3 linked regions of the Styela clava genome follow. The main gene of each other region encodes a partner of the protein of the gene in region 2 in a complex. Links are inferred from orthologs where the notes say so. Each region holds a gene or a part of one and is shown on either strand. Other genes may lie near its edges.

Region 1 (4,670 bases), on a different chromosome or scaffold from region 2:
AGAAAATGTTGGCTGTTTTTTCTTAGCAAAACCACAGTTCCATCATCCATTTCAAATTGTCCATGATCCTCCACACACCTAACTTCAATGTATAATGACTTGGGTGGCGTCATGTCCTGAATATAAATGAAATTGAATCAGAAAAATGCAAGAAAATAATAATATAATATACAGGAATGGCCAAAACCCAATATTTTACTATTTCGAATACAATTTGAAAAAATATACACACAGCTTTATTATGGAAAGAATTCTTTACTTTTATTTAGAAATATTCAGATAGAAAGCATTCAAATTAGTATTCAATATATATAATTTAAAGCGGTAAATTAAATTATTCCTGTTTGGAAATTTATCGCTCATTATAAGCATTTGACATGAACTAATTCAACTTCTGCCGCAATAAAATCGAATTCAATCATATCTCAAATATTTTGCATAAAAAATCCAATTCACAATAATTTCTGAAAATTACTCCACCAATCCAGTACATATTCGATATTCCATAATCTAAAATTAGAAGAGTAAATGATTTGGTTTTGCTATCCATCTTTGATACCAACCTGTGTTAGATCAAGACCACCCATTCCACCGATGGATCGCATGTAGTTGGCAAGAGATCTGTTGTATCTCGTAAACCATTGAATCTGATTTGATAGAAAAACACAACTTTTATTGCCAACTGGAGTTAGACTCATTGACATACTTACAATGGCATTTCGTACAAAGTTTTGATGGTGATTGTAATCAACGAATCTGTGAATGACTATAATATTTAATTATGACAAAAGCATTATATTGAAATAAACCTGGTAAGAAATATTTTATCATAGGTCACAAAACCATTTTGTTATAAATTAGTTACTCCAATTACAAAATACTATTTCAGTACTTCATAGCTGTTTCGGAGTATTTACAAATATAGCTTATTACTATGCTATATGATTGATAAACTAGTAAATATACTTGAAAATTATTTAGATAAAAATTATTTTGAAATTGATACAAACATGAAAAAGCACAATTAAGTAGCCTACATGTATAGATTATACTCACTTCTTTCTCCGATAAATTACTCTTGATTTCTGGAGGTAAAACACTACCAAATTCCCACCTCATATCTCTGATTTTATGAAGTCTATTATACCTGAAAAATGATTTTTGCATCTGCATTCATCTGTTGCAATCTGACAAAATAGCTTGTTGGTAACTTAAGAGAATGTAAGGGGCTTATTTATCACCCTAAAGTCATGTCAGGTACTAGTTATCAAGCCCGGTCAATGTTTTGAAATCTTCAATTTTAATATTAAAAGGACTTCAACAGATTGTTATACACAGATATTTTAAGCAAAATAATACATACAAATAGGCCAGCAGGCAACGCTTGTTTCGTTCCAATCCACTGTGTCGTATTTTAACTGCTGCCATTTTACTTCGATCTGAATCTGGATTCACTAACTCAGCACTGGCATTAAAAAACATTGTTCAAATCAAATAGGTTATTGTACGACACATAAGTATATTCAGGAGATCATATCTTATTAATTAATCTTTTAATTCGAATAAGAAAATTTGTTTTAAGAGTAGACCATGCTTATGATACTTGTGAACTAACCCACAGCAGACTGATTTGAATTTCTTTATTAACCTCGTTGACAAATGAGAATGCCATATGCTATACTGTTTTCACTTCCAATGGGCATATCTTTTATAATCTCTGATACTATGGACACCTTTTTACCATAACATTATTTTTTATTTGCTTTATATGTGTGATGTTGCTAAGGCAACTCTCATATATGAATATTGATTGGTAGAATAGGTTCCATTCATTGTCCAACTTACACATCTTTTTGATTAGAGTCGTAAAGAACTTGCATTTCTTCTAGTACTTGTCTAACTCCATCTTCCTGCAAAATAACAATAAGCAAAACATTAGAAGAGACTTTTCAACTCTCACAGCTAGGGTTCAAATCCAATGCCAATCCTTTCACCAAGTGTACAATGAAATTTATAAGGTTCACTTGAACCTGAAACATAGCAACTGCCTGTAATGAGTCTTGTTCGGAGCCAAGATATGTAAACACCCGATGAAAATACCACAGCCTTGTTACCAAAGAAACTTTTTATATATAAATATATTGAATTTAAAAGTTAGCAGGCTGCTGCTCATATTAGGCCTTAAAGGTGTGAGTGAAATTTAAAAAAACTCACATTGTAAGGCGTTATCGGTCCATCTTTATTCCTGTACAAGTCTCTAATGAGTTCTAAGCCTTTCTCACCAAACATTATAGAAGGCTTTCAAGACCATTCGAATCTAGAACAGCTACTTTTCAATTTATATTGCAGACTGAAGGTGTGCTTAGCTCAAAAGTTTTCATTAAAATGAAACAGATTTATTTTATTCTGCAGTGGAAAAAATATTTTATATACATACCTGTGGGACATTTTGGTCAGCCAATCTAATATTTGTTATTACTGTGTAAACCAAAGATTTAAATCTTAATAGGCCATATATGTATGTTCATAAGCCTCAAAAAATGTGAAAGTATCCACATAATAATTAAACAGTATAACAGAGAGGGGATACATGTTCAATGCCTTACTGGCCAAGACACAGTTGAACAACCTAATGTACCCATAAAAAGCATTTACCGGCAGTTCAGAAATTGACAGTAAGTTGGGACCAGAACTGGTCATTATGAGACTGCGATTTAAAACAAGTTAAAAATAAAAAAACAATGGATAATTTAAAGAAATTAAACAAATTAGGGATTTGTAGAAATCTTTATATATGATTTGGAAAAAATCTATATAGGGAAAGAAACAATTGAGACACAATAGATTGGAGCAAAAATGTGGTTTTCCTTCTGGCGCAGCAGCCCTGAAATGACCAAGATTCACCATGTCCTGATGACATTCAGCTGTACTCCTGTACGATATTTATTGCTGTATTGTCACATGCAAAATCAAACCAAGCAATCATTTTTATTTGAAGGAAAAAAATTAGGAGATTCTCAATAAAAGGATTGTACGAACGCCAAAACTCCATGTGCAACAGGCCATATGAATTTTCGAAGGTGATGAAAAAGAGAAAACTTTGACAAATAAGGGAAAAACTTTGGCCCACGGTCGCATTTTCGCGCAGATGTCGAAATAACTGTCCTGCAGTCGATTCCTGCCACTTGACTTTTTCTAAACCTAACACAAAATGCATGCTTAACTTACATAAAGTTCATTAATAAATGTAAATTTCATAAATACTTTCCCTTGATAGACAACTCATCCTGTCATTCCAACCTGTCACTTAATTCATAAATTCACATCCAACCAACACGACCGACAGAAGAAAACAGCAACAAGACGTCGAAAAAATCGCGCGACTTGTTGTTGGACATTCTTAGTGACCCGTGAAGAAAACGTAAAGCAAGCGGTCGTCTCTCGTCGTCGATTAGGAGACATAACGTGCCCGTATTATTTTCAGAAATATCCAACATTTCGATTGGAAAGTAACGACTCTACGAACTTTTTCGTGTTCGCAATGTGTTCGAAACTTTTACACCCTGTCATTTTACAAAAAAATACGGGCGTGAATTGTATCACTCTCATACAGATTGTTTCATTTTGGTTGAAATTGTCCAATAATTACACTATTTTCACCAACTACTCGTAATACCCTGGCAAAAAACACTGACACTTAATCTATTTGTTTTTATAAGTTATTCAAAAAACAAATGAATGAATACTGGTATACAGTAACAATCGATTTTCCCAAATCTTTCTGGACTTTATTTTACCATGGCCGACTGTCATGCGTCGACCAAATGTTTTGCTCTTACTAAATGCGTGTACTTGACAGGTAATTCATCTTATTCATGTGCAAGTTTATTCTACTCTCAGACTCTATAAACCTTAAATTGATCTGTCTGTTGGTCAGTCTGAAACTAGTCTCCATTTAATCTTAGTAAGTTTCACTAATACCAAAGATGAATTTTAAGCGCAAAATCCCGAAGATGCGACAAAATTTTCTTCATTTCCAAATGAATGTTGGCTGCAACCTCCAGGATAGCTTGTCTCTGATTAAAAGACCAAGAAATCGTCAGAGCAAGGTAAAGTTGATCACATGTGGTTACACCATTAAAATAACTTTACCACCACTTGCTTACTTCTGCACCAATATTTATGTATCAATTTTATGAATTTATTGAACTGTTACAGACTATAATCTGTATTATTGACCAACCACTGTTTCAAGTGTTGATACTGAAAATGTTATTTAAAAGTCTTGAAATCCAATATTTTTACAACAATTACTGCTTAAAATATGGTTGGCTACAGATATTAAAATTTTTTTTTTTAGATAGTTTAATAACGCATTCTGCAGAATTATGACATGAGTCATAAAATAATGAACTTCTTTATCTCATGGCAGACCTGGTGCAACTGCTCTTATATGTCTGATTGAGGTCCCCCGCAAATGGAAAGCAGCTTCGATTTTAAGTGCCCATGATTATGTATTGCTTCTTGCAGCGTTTGAATAATCAACAGTTGCAGACAAGCCTCATCTATACAAATCCTTTCAAATCTCACATTTTCTCTGATAACGTACCACACATGGTGTTGAACTGTCAAAAACTTTTATACCCCTTTTGTACCCCTATTATAGCCTA
Region 2 (4,670 bases):
ACAAGAACCAGACTTCATAAAAATTTCATCGGCTTTGGCAACAACGTATGTGTTAAAAAAGCCATTGAAACGAGCTGGAATAAAATTGTTAGTTTGTACGATCAGAGTCAAAATTTGGGAGTAAATATATTCTGCCAAAAATTACATTAAGTTGATTTAAATAAAAAAAACTTACCAAAGCTTTTCCATATTTGAAGCACTTTCCAGATCCGTCGTCTTGACAAAATTCTCCCAAAAATCTTTTAACTTTATCTAAACGTAATTATTTAAACTTGAAATATATAAGAAATTGGTAGAAATTGAGTTTTCGGGATTTTTGCTCCTTAACTTCACACGTGCTGAATAGGGAAATTCGAATTATCGAGCCAATGACGAAATAAGTATCCGAGCAACGTTCCATTGCGTGACAACGGCAAACTATTCTACCTATCTGGATTCGTAATGGAAACGAGATATCACGGCTCAAACGTCCTTCCACGCCGCTCTTCGTCCTATTCAATTCAGGAATGTAAACATTGCCCAGATCTTCAACCATGAAACTTACCCAGGCGACCGTTAAATAAGTGAGAGAAATAAAGAAACAAACTGCGCTCCTCAAAAGACGCCGAGTAGTAAAATTATATTCCTTTTAGTAATGCGATCAAATAAAATGTAGTCTCGTTTGTTTAATATACTGCCGAGTTCCGACACCAATATATCACACTGCGAGGTAATTCACTTCACTAAGTTTCCAAATTTTTTTTAATCAGTTTCTAAAAACCACCCATTTCAATAATTTACGCATAAACTCTTGAATTTATATTCTGTTTGTCGTTTATATGTTTATTGGCAACTGAATTCAAGTAGTTTTTTGCCAACCGAAAAACGAACCTCAACATTCTACATACTACATACTAAACTGAATCGATATTTTTCGAAATCATTATATCCTGGCAATATTTTACCTTTCTTGCACATAGGATACTTTTGACGTCTCTTATCTAATAATCTGTGAACGCCCTACGCCTAACTAGTGAGCACCGAAGCGAACCAGTTGCCACTCACGACGATAAGGCGAGGTTTACGCTAGCGTACCGTGCGAAGAAGAACGCGCAAACAGCTGTAGGCTTCGTAGTAATTAAAATCTTTTATCCTCTTGCGTTCCCTGAGTAATAGTCATAGAATTGGCCTGCCATCACTGCACATACGTCATGAGATACCGCAAGCTACTAATATATTGCCAAATTGAAGCGGAGTCGCCGAACGAAAATATATTGCAAGCTACGAGCGCGGAGGATAGTAGCTAAGTCTAAGGTACTTTGTCGCCAAAGCTTGCAAAAAAACTGACAAGACAGACACGGGCTGATGGGCACGGCCTTATTTGAGAGAATTTTAGGTACTTTATATTGACCCTTTGAACACTCGCGATATTAAATTGCATTATGTTCAAGTCCTGAAACACTAGATTGACATAAAACGGTTAGCAAAGTTAATCTACCGAAGACGATAGATCGTCTCGCTTTCATCGCCAATCGAAGTAACCAACGACAATTTTGAAAAGAGGATCCCACAGGTGATGTCATTCGACAAAATGCCGCCGTTTGCTAAGAGCGAGTGAGCGCGAACGTTTCTTGTTGTGTTAAGGCAGCCGGGCGTTAAAACTTTTTCGTGAAGTCTTCAAAATCGTAGATGTCCCGAGTGTCAGTTGTAAAGTGGCGATATTGAATAGTCGGTGGCGAAGCCTTATATTGCGCAATAAATCCCCAACACGCGGAACTGCAGTGGTGTATAGTGTTTCCTGAACATTTACTTTATCAATTACGGCCACCATTAGATAGAAAACGTTAACCCAATAATAGTCAAAAGCAAAGCGGATATTTCTAATTTTTATTAAAATCTCCTCATAAATGTGGGATACTTATATCAGCAGGCCATAGTTAAATTCAGCAAAGTCTGTGAATTTAACCCCAGAATTAAATAAACGGAAGAAGTTATTGTTATGACAAGGAAGTACTTTTCTGAATATAACATCGTTAGGGGTACCTAATTTATATGTTTCAAGTGTCTCAAAATTAAGGTTTGCATAACAATGTGATGGGAAACAGACATAGATCTGACCCTAATCGAATGAAGTTGTATCTATATTTAACTGCTATAGTCAGGGATTCCATCAATCTGGAACCCAAAATAAGGAAGACTGGAAAAATTTCTGCATTGTGAGCAGAAATAGCTGGCTTTCCTATGGCCTCCAGGTTAATGTCACAATTACAGACATCACGGTGTGCGAAGCACTCACCCTTCAAGCTTTGTTTAACTTTAATTTTTTTCCCTTATTCATCGCGAAAAACGTTTTTACGTTTGCTCATTTTTAAATTTAAGCTAAAATAACCACCACCACGACAAAACCTAAGGATCGCCACACTAACAAAGCTTCATGCCTATCTGTGCCTTGCTTCTTTGTGTTCCAAATAAGATTGTGTTGCTTTTTATGATGCCACCAAAATAAGAACAAGCAAGCCAAAAATAGGGACGCGAGCCAAAAATAAGGACAAATCTTAGAAATAAGGACGGTATGGAATCCCTGGCTATAGTTTAATGTTATTAATTTATTTTAAATGTTATAGACTAATAAAGCTATAAAAAACTTGTGCCGATTCCCTCCTTGAACACATTTCGAACAAAAAATTTACATAACAATTGAAGCAATTTGATAGGCTGTCTAGTTTTTTTGATAATGACGGTAGACGTTAGTCATCTTGACATAAACTTCACACCTTGGATAAAATTATGGATTAATCATTTTTGTTTGAAAACACAGTTACTTATCTACAATACATGCTGAACAAATTTTTGTACTTGAAGTAGGATATGGTATTTCATTTCAACATATGATAAATATATACTTACATGTAATTCCGGTATTCTAAATTAAAAGAAAAAAAAAATTCACCTTTTTCTGAAGGATAGTCTCGTTTCTTGTCTGATCCAGTTGCCATTTTAGATAAAACCAAACAAAATCAAAATTGGAAATTATAATGCTGTAAATATACAAACAATTAAAGTTAGCATTCGCTTTCATATAAAATAGTATTCTTCAAATTCATCCCAAGGAGGCAAGGACTTATGTAAACCCCTGGCTATCATTCCATTTCCAGGTACATGGACTTACAACCTAAGTGAACATAGAGAACTTGAATTATGGTAATAACAAGATTTACATATTTATCCGGTGGAGAGAAACTATTTTGGTTTATCGACCACAAATTGTTGTAATAATAATGTAGGATAAAAGTAAAATGTTTATCATTCAATAGTGTAACGGGATAAAACCAAGTCAGTCATTCCGGGCAATATACAAAGATGAACAAATGATAAAAAATATAGTTCATGAACTCATATACAAAACTCAGATGAAAGCAAAAACAATAAAATTACATAGTCCTAATAAAATGATCATTACACACTACATATTCATAGACCATCTAATACTTGCTACATAAAGGCATTGCCGGATTCCCAATATCAATAAGCATACAGCCACGATTCCCCAATGACTCAAAACCTCGGTGAAGATTATCCCACAAATTAGACACCAATACTACAATGGACCTCAAGATTCATGCAACTAATTATAAATCTTGCATTTGAGTTAACTTAAATATCCGAAAATGCTTTTGATAAAATATTTCGACTGTTGCATCTAGGTAAGTATAGAGTTATAATATTGGCAGATTGGGTTTACTTGGCCTCGAACTTGGTAAATTAATTAATGCAACATCTCGATAAAGTTTAATATAAGCACTATAATAAATTTATGGCACTCAAGATGTTATGTTACAGGAAAAAAATGAATTAATATCATTCTATTACGTATGCTAACTCAAACTTTATGAATCGGCATTGGGACAGGCCATAATTATATAAAATTGTAAACAAAATATTTTTTGCAATTAACTAATTCCATATAAACATTCTATGTAGAGTATTTATCTAAACTTAATGATTATAACAATATCTAGGCAATACCATTTCTCTCATCACGACATATTCTCTGAAATGAATGAATGTACAAAATATCTTAATAGAATTTTACATGCATACATCTCAGTATAAACCAATTGATAAACTTAAAATGTCAATAAAAGTAAACAAAAAATTACTGATAAGTTAGGGTGGATTCAAATTTGCATCAGTTTGTAGATTTGTGGAAGACTAAAATGTCTTCTAAAATGAAATGCCAATATTATTCAAAATCCTATAGAATTTGAAATGAAATAAACAATTAATATTTACTATCACTAAAGTGTGAGATATTCCAGAAACGCAGCAGGAACCAGATATATGGAAAACCGAAAAGATCTATTTCCTGAATTTGAATGTCACTGGAAGACTTTATGAATTAATTATGTTTTTGAAATTTTAACAGCTTTCACAAAACTGAGCTGGTCAACATACAGACATAAGCAAATCCGAAAGTTAAGATTCAAGCACAACTTCAATCAATTTCTTCCTATGGAATGATTTAGTAGAGAACTTGCCAGCTACTGAGCTAGCAGTTTGTGATGTATATATTCATTGCTCTAAATGTATAGTTGCAACAAACAGCTTTTGATTACTGCGTATACTGACATAGTTAAAAATAGTTTTTACAAGTACCAAAAATTGAGTTACGACTGTACATGGTTCAATCG
Region 3 (4,670 bases), on a different chromosome or scaffold from region 2:
CATGGTTTGACGAAAGGAATGAACTTTCTCACTCTCTTGTAGAATCTCGCGACCCAAGAATATGCTCTGATACTGAACAACATGCTGTTGATCACAAAAATAATGTAATAACGTTATAAATTTAAAAATATGATGTGGCAAGTAATTTTTATTTATTCCCTTTTTTTAACTACCCGTATGTAATTTATAACTTCTGTATGGTTGTGTGTGTGGGTGCGTGTGTGAAATATTTCAATTATTTTAGGTGAGTGAACACGTACCACATCTTCTTGGCAAAACCTTCCATCTTGTATACACTCTGTACGTTTTAAACCTTATCTAAGGTTTCGTTAACTCTCCCGATTCCATAATCAGTTTTCAATTATTTTTTTTTACCAATCATTTTATTGTTATGCTGATTATGGAGTCGAAATAAACTTATACTTATAATACAAAACAATCATTTGACATCATCATAAATTACATACCGGTAGTTGCAATAATGTTTGCCATTAGCAAGTTTTAAAAATTGAGGCATGGTAAAATAGGCACTGCCAAGTTTCCCACATACAGTAGAAACTTCACTTACAAAACGGTTTCCGAAACGAATTGATTTGGTAACACAATTCTACTGTACACAATTCGGTACCAAGATGGCGGACATCGGAACGTTGCGAACGTAGTATGGGTACCAGGTTAGGGTTAGGCCATAATTTTAGTTACAAATACTACAGGAGTCACTTGGCTAGTCCTGGAACTCGTAATAGAACTAAAATAAGGAAAATTGGAATAAAATTATGGCCTAATCCCAACCTGGTACACATTCTGGCGTCTGCCATCTTGTTTCACATACTTCGGGAGTGCCCACAATTATAATCAATTGAGAGTTCAATATTCAAAAAAATTCTTACTCAAAAATAAAACTTAGAGCCAAGACAACATGTGGTACATACCTTTTATCCTACTGCACCAAGCGAACGTTGACTTTGACAGGAATCTAGCTTTACGTTTGATTGTCCAATCCATTGGTAAAGTCTCTGATCCGACCAGCGTATTCGCTTCGGTTCTTGTGTTAGTAAATATGCCTTGGATCGAGTCTTCTTCCAAATATACAAACGGCATTGCCGGATCTTTGGCTTCGGTTTGGTTGGAATTGTGGTGGTTGGAGTCTGAGATGATGTGACTGGAGTTTGAATTGTTGGTATTGCTTTGATATGTGCCTGAATGTGGTTGGAATATAAATTTGGTAAGTTAAGAGGATATGGTTTATATATTTATCCATCCCCAATAAGACAGTTCAATCATATGGCGACTTGTGGCCTCTCGTCCGGTTACCAGTCAGGAATAGAATTAGTTAGTCAGTCGTTTGTTCTCATAACATGAACTTGATAGTGGAAGGATCTATAACTAACCAGCGTTTATGTGAACCACCCTACAACGGCGAGGAGTCCAAGAATCCTCTCCAGCTTATTTGTTTCAGACACATGGACCTGATGGCGAAAGAATCTGTAACCGACCAGCGGTTGTATGAACCACCCTACGGCAACAAGGAGTCCAGCAAACCTCTCGCACATGAATATCCCCGCATGAGATTCGGACCTGCCGCAGTGGCGAGCGTATTCCTCAACTAAGATAGGTATTACATCCTTGTATGTTTATGAAACAACATACAGACCTTCATTGGTTTTCAAAATTTCATCTGACTGATTCAGCGGTATTTTCTGAGGAATATTTTCAACATTTCGTTCGTATTCTGAAGAAGATAAAATTCTCTTCTTGATTGCCTGAAAGTTGTGAAATAAATATGAATAAACTAATGATTATTTTAATTCAGGGAAAAACCATGTTTATCAACAAAAGTTATTGGATAATAAATTAGTAAATGTTTAGGTTTTTGTTAAAAAAACAAGCGACCCAAGAAAATTTGCAGGTGACCCAATTGCGATAGGTTGATAAACACTTGTTAAAACCACATATTGTGAAACTTAAAATACTCATATAGACTATAACACACACTCACATCTGCGCTTTCGGAAGCCGGCCTTTTTTTTGCAAATGGGTTCTGACGTTTAACTGAAGAAGTTTCTGAATCATTTTTCTTCATGAGCAATGGACTAGCGTTAGAGGTTTCTGAAAAAAATTTAAAAATATTTCAATATAGTCCATTTTAGTGTAATGGATGCCGCTGAGTCAATTTTCGTCAAACATTATTCTGTTTTGATTTGTAATTTCAACATACTGACATATCAGATTCGCTAGTGCCGAGCCTTGTTCAGAGAAATTGTAGGTCAAGAAATACTAACCTTGGTTGTTTAGAGATAGGTTTGACAACGATGCTCTTCTCACGTTTTGACTTTGTAATTTCCTGAGTCGTATTCTTCTCATTACACCATCCGGTGTCCGCCATTGCACAGGCTTGTCAGAAGCCATTATATACACGTAGCCTATTGCTGTTATTCAAGTATAAATAATCGAAGAAAGCTATACCGCACCAAGTGCAGAAGTGATAAGTTAACTCAAACCTACAAATTGAAAATAAAATGGGCAGCTTTAGATTTAGCCATTAAATATTGAAATAAGAGTCAATTGAAGCTTAATAACTGCTGTAGTCTAACTGGCTAATTTTGCTATTGAGCTGTTGATATTGATGCTTTATTTCTGTATTCTGTGAGACTCCTAGCTTAATAGTTTTTTTTTTGGCTAAATGCGGCAAATTCCTTCGCCTGTGAATACAGAAATAACAATGTTCTTCAAATTTATCTTTAATTTTCACATGTCTGCATGGTGATGAATACTGGAATAAGTTTTAGTCTGCTTGTTTGCTATTCTACATGACCTTCTGCATTTCAAATGGCGCGGCGGTGTGGCTCAACGGGCTAAGCGTTAGGAATACGCTCGCCACCGCACCTCTAATTACTCTGCGAGGGTTCGCAGGTTCAAATCCCATGCAGGGATGATTATGTGCGAGAGGATTGCTGGACTCCTCGCCGTCGTTGGGTGGTTCACGTAACCGCTGGTCGGTTACGGCTTCCTCCACCACCAAGTCCATGCTTCCGAAAACAAACCATATACCGATAACTAATCCCATACTTTCCTCTCCTCCGGGATAAATATGTAAATCCTATCCTATCGGATCTATCCTAAATTGCATGGCCCTTCTCAGATCAGCGGTGCTGTTTTATTCCCAAAATTTAATCTCTAATGAGGGGTTGTTTGTACATAATTAAGCAGTTAGCCTAACTTATGGCAGTACTGCAGTATGGTGCCGCTATTCTTCCTGACTCAGTAACTCTTTATAGCCCCAGCTGCCTGGACAAAAATGAAATACTTCAATTTTTGAGAAATAAATGTCAGGGGATTTCCCTATATTGGTCTAAATTTTGGCGCCCTAAATTTTGACCACTAAGTGTCAGAAGTGAGCCGCATGAATTTATCCGCGCTTTTCACCGGTTCTCTCAACAGCGTACCGTATGTTGGGTTATGAATTTCATATTTATCCCGGGGAGAGAAAAGGCCGATAATACCGCTTAATTGATCATATGGTGAACCACGGTCTTCCGTTCAGGTGGATATGGAAATAGTTGAACATTTATTCATTTCACATCTTGATGACAAATAATTTTTTCATATATCCTGCGACAAGGGTCGGCAACCTACGGCCCGCGGAGTGAAATAATCCTGCCCGCGTAGCCTCACTGAATTATAGCGACAAAACAGCCGTTTTCACGATTATATTATTCACGTAACAGTATTTATTGCGAGAAACGTGTAAATTAAATTATAACCTAACAAGTTAGTTTGTTTAATGAGCTTACAATGTACCGTAATTATGGGATAGGATTTACATATTTATCCCGGGGAGAGGAAAACCGATAAGACGGCGTAATCATATGGCGAACCACGGCTTCTCGTCTGGTTACTATCCTATGTCGGGTATGCGGTTAGTTAGCTAGTTATTTGTTTCCGAAAGCATGGACTTGATGGTAGAGGAAGCCGTAACCGACAGGCGATTACGTGAACCACCCTACGGCGGCGAGGAGTCCAGCAATCCTCTCACACATAACCTGCGAACCCACGCAGGGTAATCAAAGGGGGAAGTGGCGAAGGTATTCCTAACGCTTAGCACGATGCAGCACACTGCCGAGCCTATTGAATACAACAGATTGGAAAATAATAAATGCTCGGGCAATAACATGGAGGAAAATACTTTTGCATATATAACTCAAACAATAAGTAGCAGATGGATGGGATTTTCACATTTATCTCTGGTAGAAAAAAGCCGACGAGACGGTTTAACTTTAATTCATATGGCGAACCGCGGCATCTCGTCCGGCTACCGGTCCACGTTGGTTATAGGAATAGTCAGTCAGTTATTCGTTTCAGATGCATGAACTCAGTTTCGGTACCGGCATTAACATTTTGAAATTCCCCGTTAGGATGAGATAATTCGAATCTAGTTCCATTGATTCCCGGTAGCGAATAAGTCCGAACGGTACTAAAGTAGACCATACCTGTTTTATATCTAAGTTTTAAGCTTAATATAGATAAACTAATTGGCTAAACTAAACTAAGCATACGAAGCTTATCGCCACATTCGAAAGCAGCACCGGTAAACTTGAACATTTCGATGCGTAAAATACCAAATGATTTTATAAAGTTGCCAGGAATGAGAGGAGTAAGTAAGTTCTTAT

What was found.
Region 1: DNA replication licensing factor mcm7-like (region 2) and DNA replication complex GINS protein PSF1-like share a complex: the UniProt entries of both Homo sapiens proteins name them as parts of the CMG helicase complex. The link is inferred for Styela clava from reciprocal best matches to the Homo sapiens genes MCM7 and GINS1.
Region 3: DNA replication licensing factor mcm7-like (region 2) and protein downstream neighbor of Son-like share a complex: the UniProt entries of both Homo sapiens proteins name them as parts of the replisome complex. The link is inferred for Styela clava from reciprocal best matches to the Homo sapiens genes MCM7 and DONSON.

Annotation. Positions count from the first base shown.
Region 1 is NC_135253.1:5,304,148-5,308,817, reverse strand, and holds the start of DNA replication complex GINS protein PSF1-like, read right to left. Parts: upstream 2,949-4,670; 5' UTR 2,290-2,948; coding exon 2,215-2,289; intron 1,911-2,214; coding exon 1,846-1,910; intron 1,466-1,845; coding exon 1,364-1,465; intron 1,148-1,363; coding exon 1,057-1,147; intron 648-1,056; coding exon 564-647; intron 117-563; coding exon 1-116. Other genes in the region: uncharacterized protein LOC120326422, read left to right, coding at 3,987-4,109. UniProt on the Homo sapiens protein: Required for correct functioning of the GINS complex, a complex that plays an essential role in the initiation of DNA replication, and progression of DNA replication forks.
Region 2 is NC_135256.1:12,816,944-12,821,613, reverse strand, and holds the start of DNA replication licensing factor mcm7-like, read right to left. Parts: upstream 3,024-4,670; 5' UTR 2,976-3,023; coding exon 2,930-2,975; intron 253-2,929; coding exon 176-252; intron 1-175. UniProt on the Homo sapiens protein: Acts as a component of the MCM2-7 complex (MCM complex) which is the replicative helicase essential for 'once per cell cycle' DNA replication initiation and elongation in eukaryotic cells.
Region 3 is NC_135250.1:31,953,933-31,958,602, reverse strand, and holds the start of protein downstream neighbor of Son-like, read right to left. Parts: upstream 2,498-4,670; 5' UTR 2,410-2,497; coding exon 2,283-2,409; intron 2,110-2,282; coding exon 2,000-2,109; intron 1,764-1,999; coding exon 1,655-1,763; intron 1,200-1,654; coding exon 933-1,199; intron 1-932. UniProt on the Homo sapiens protein: Replisome component that maintains genome stability by protecting stalled or damaged replication forks.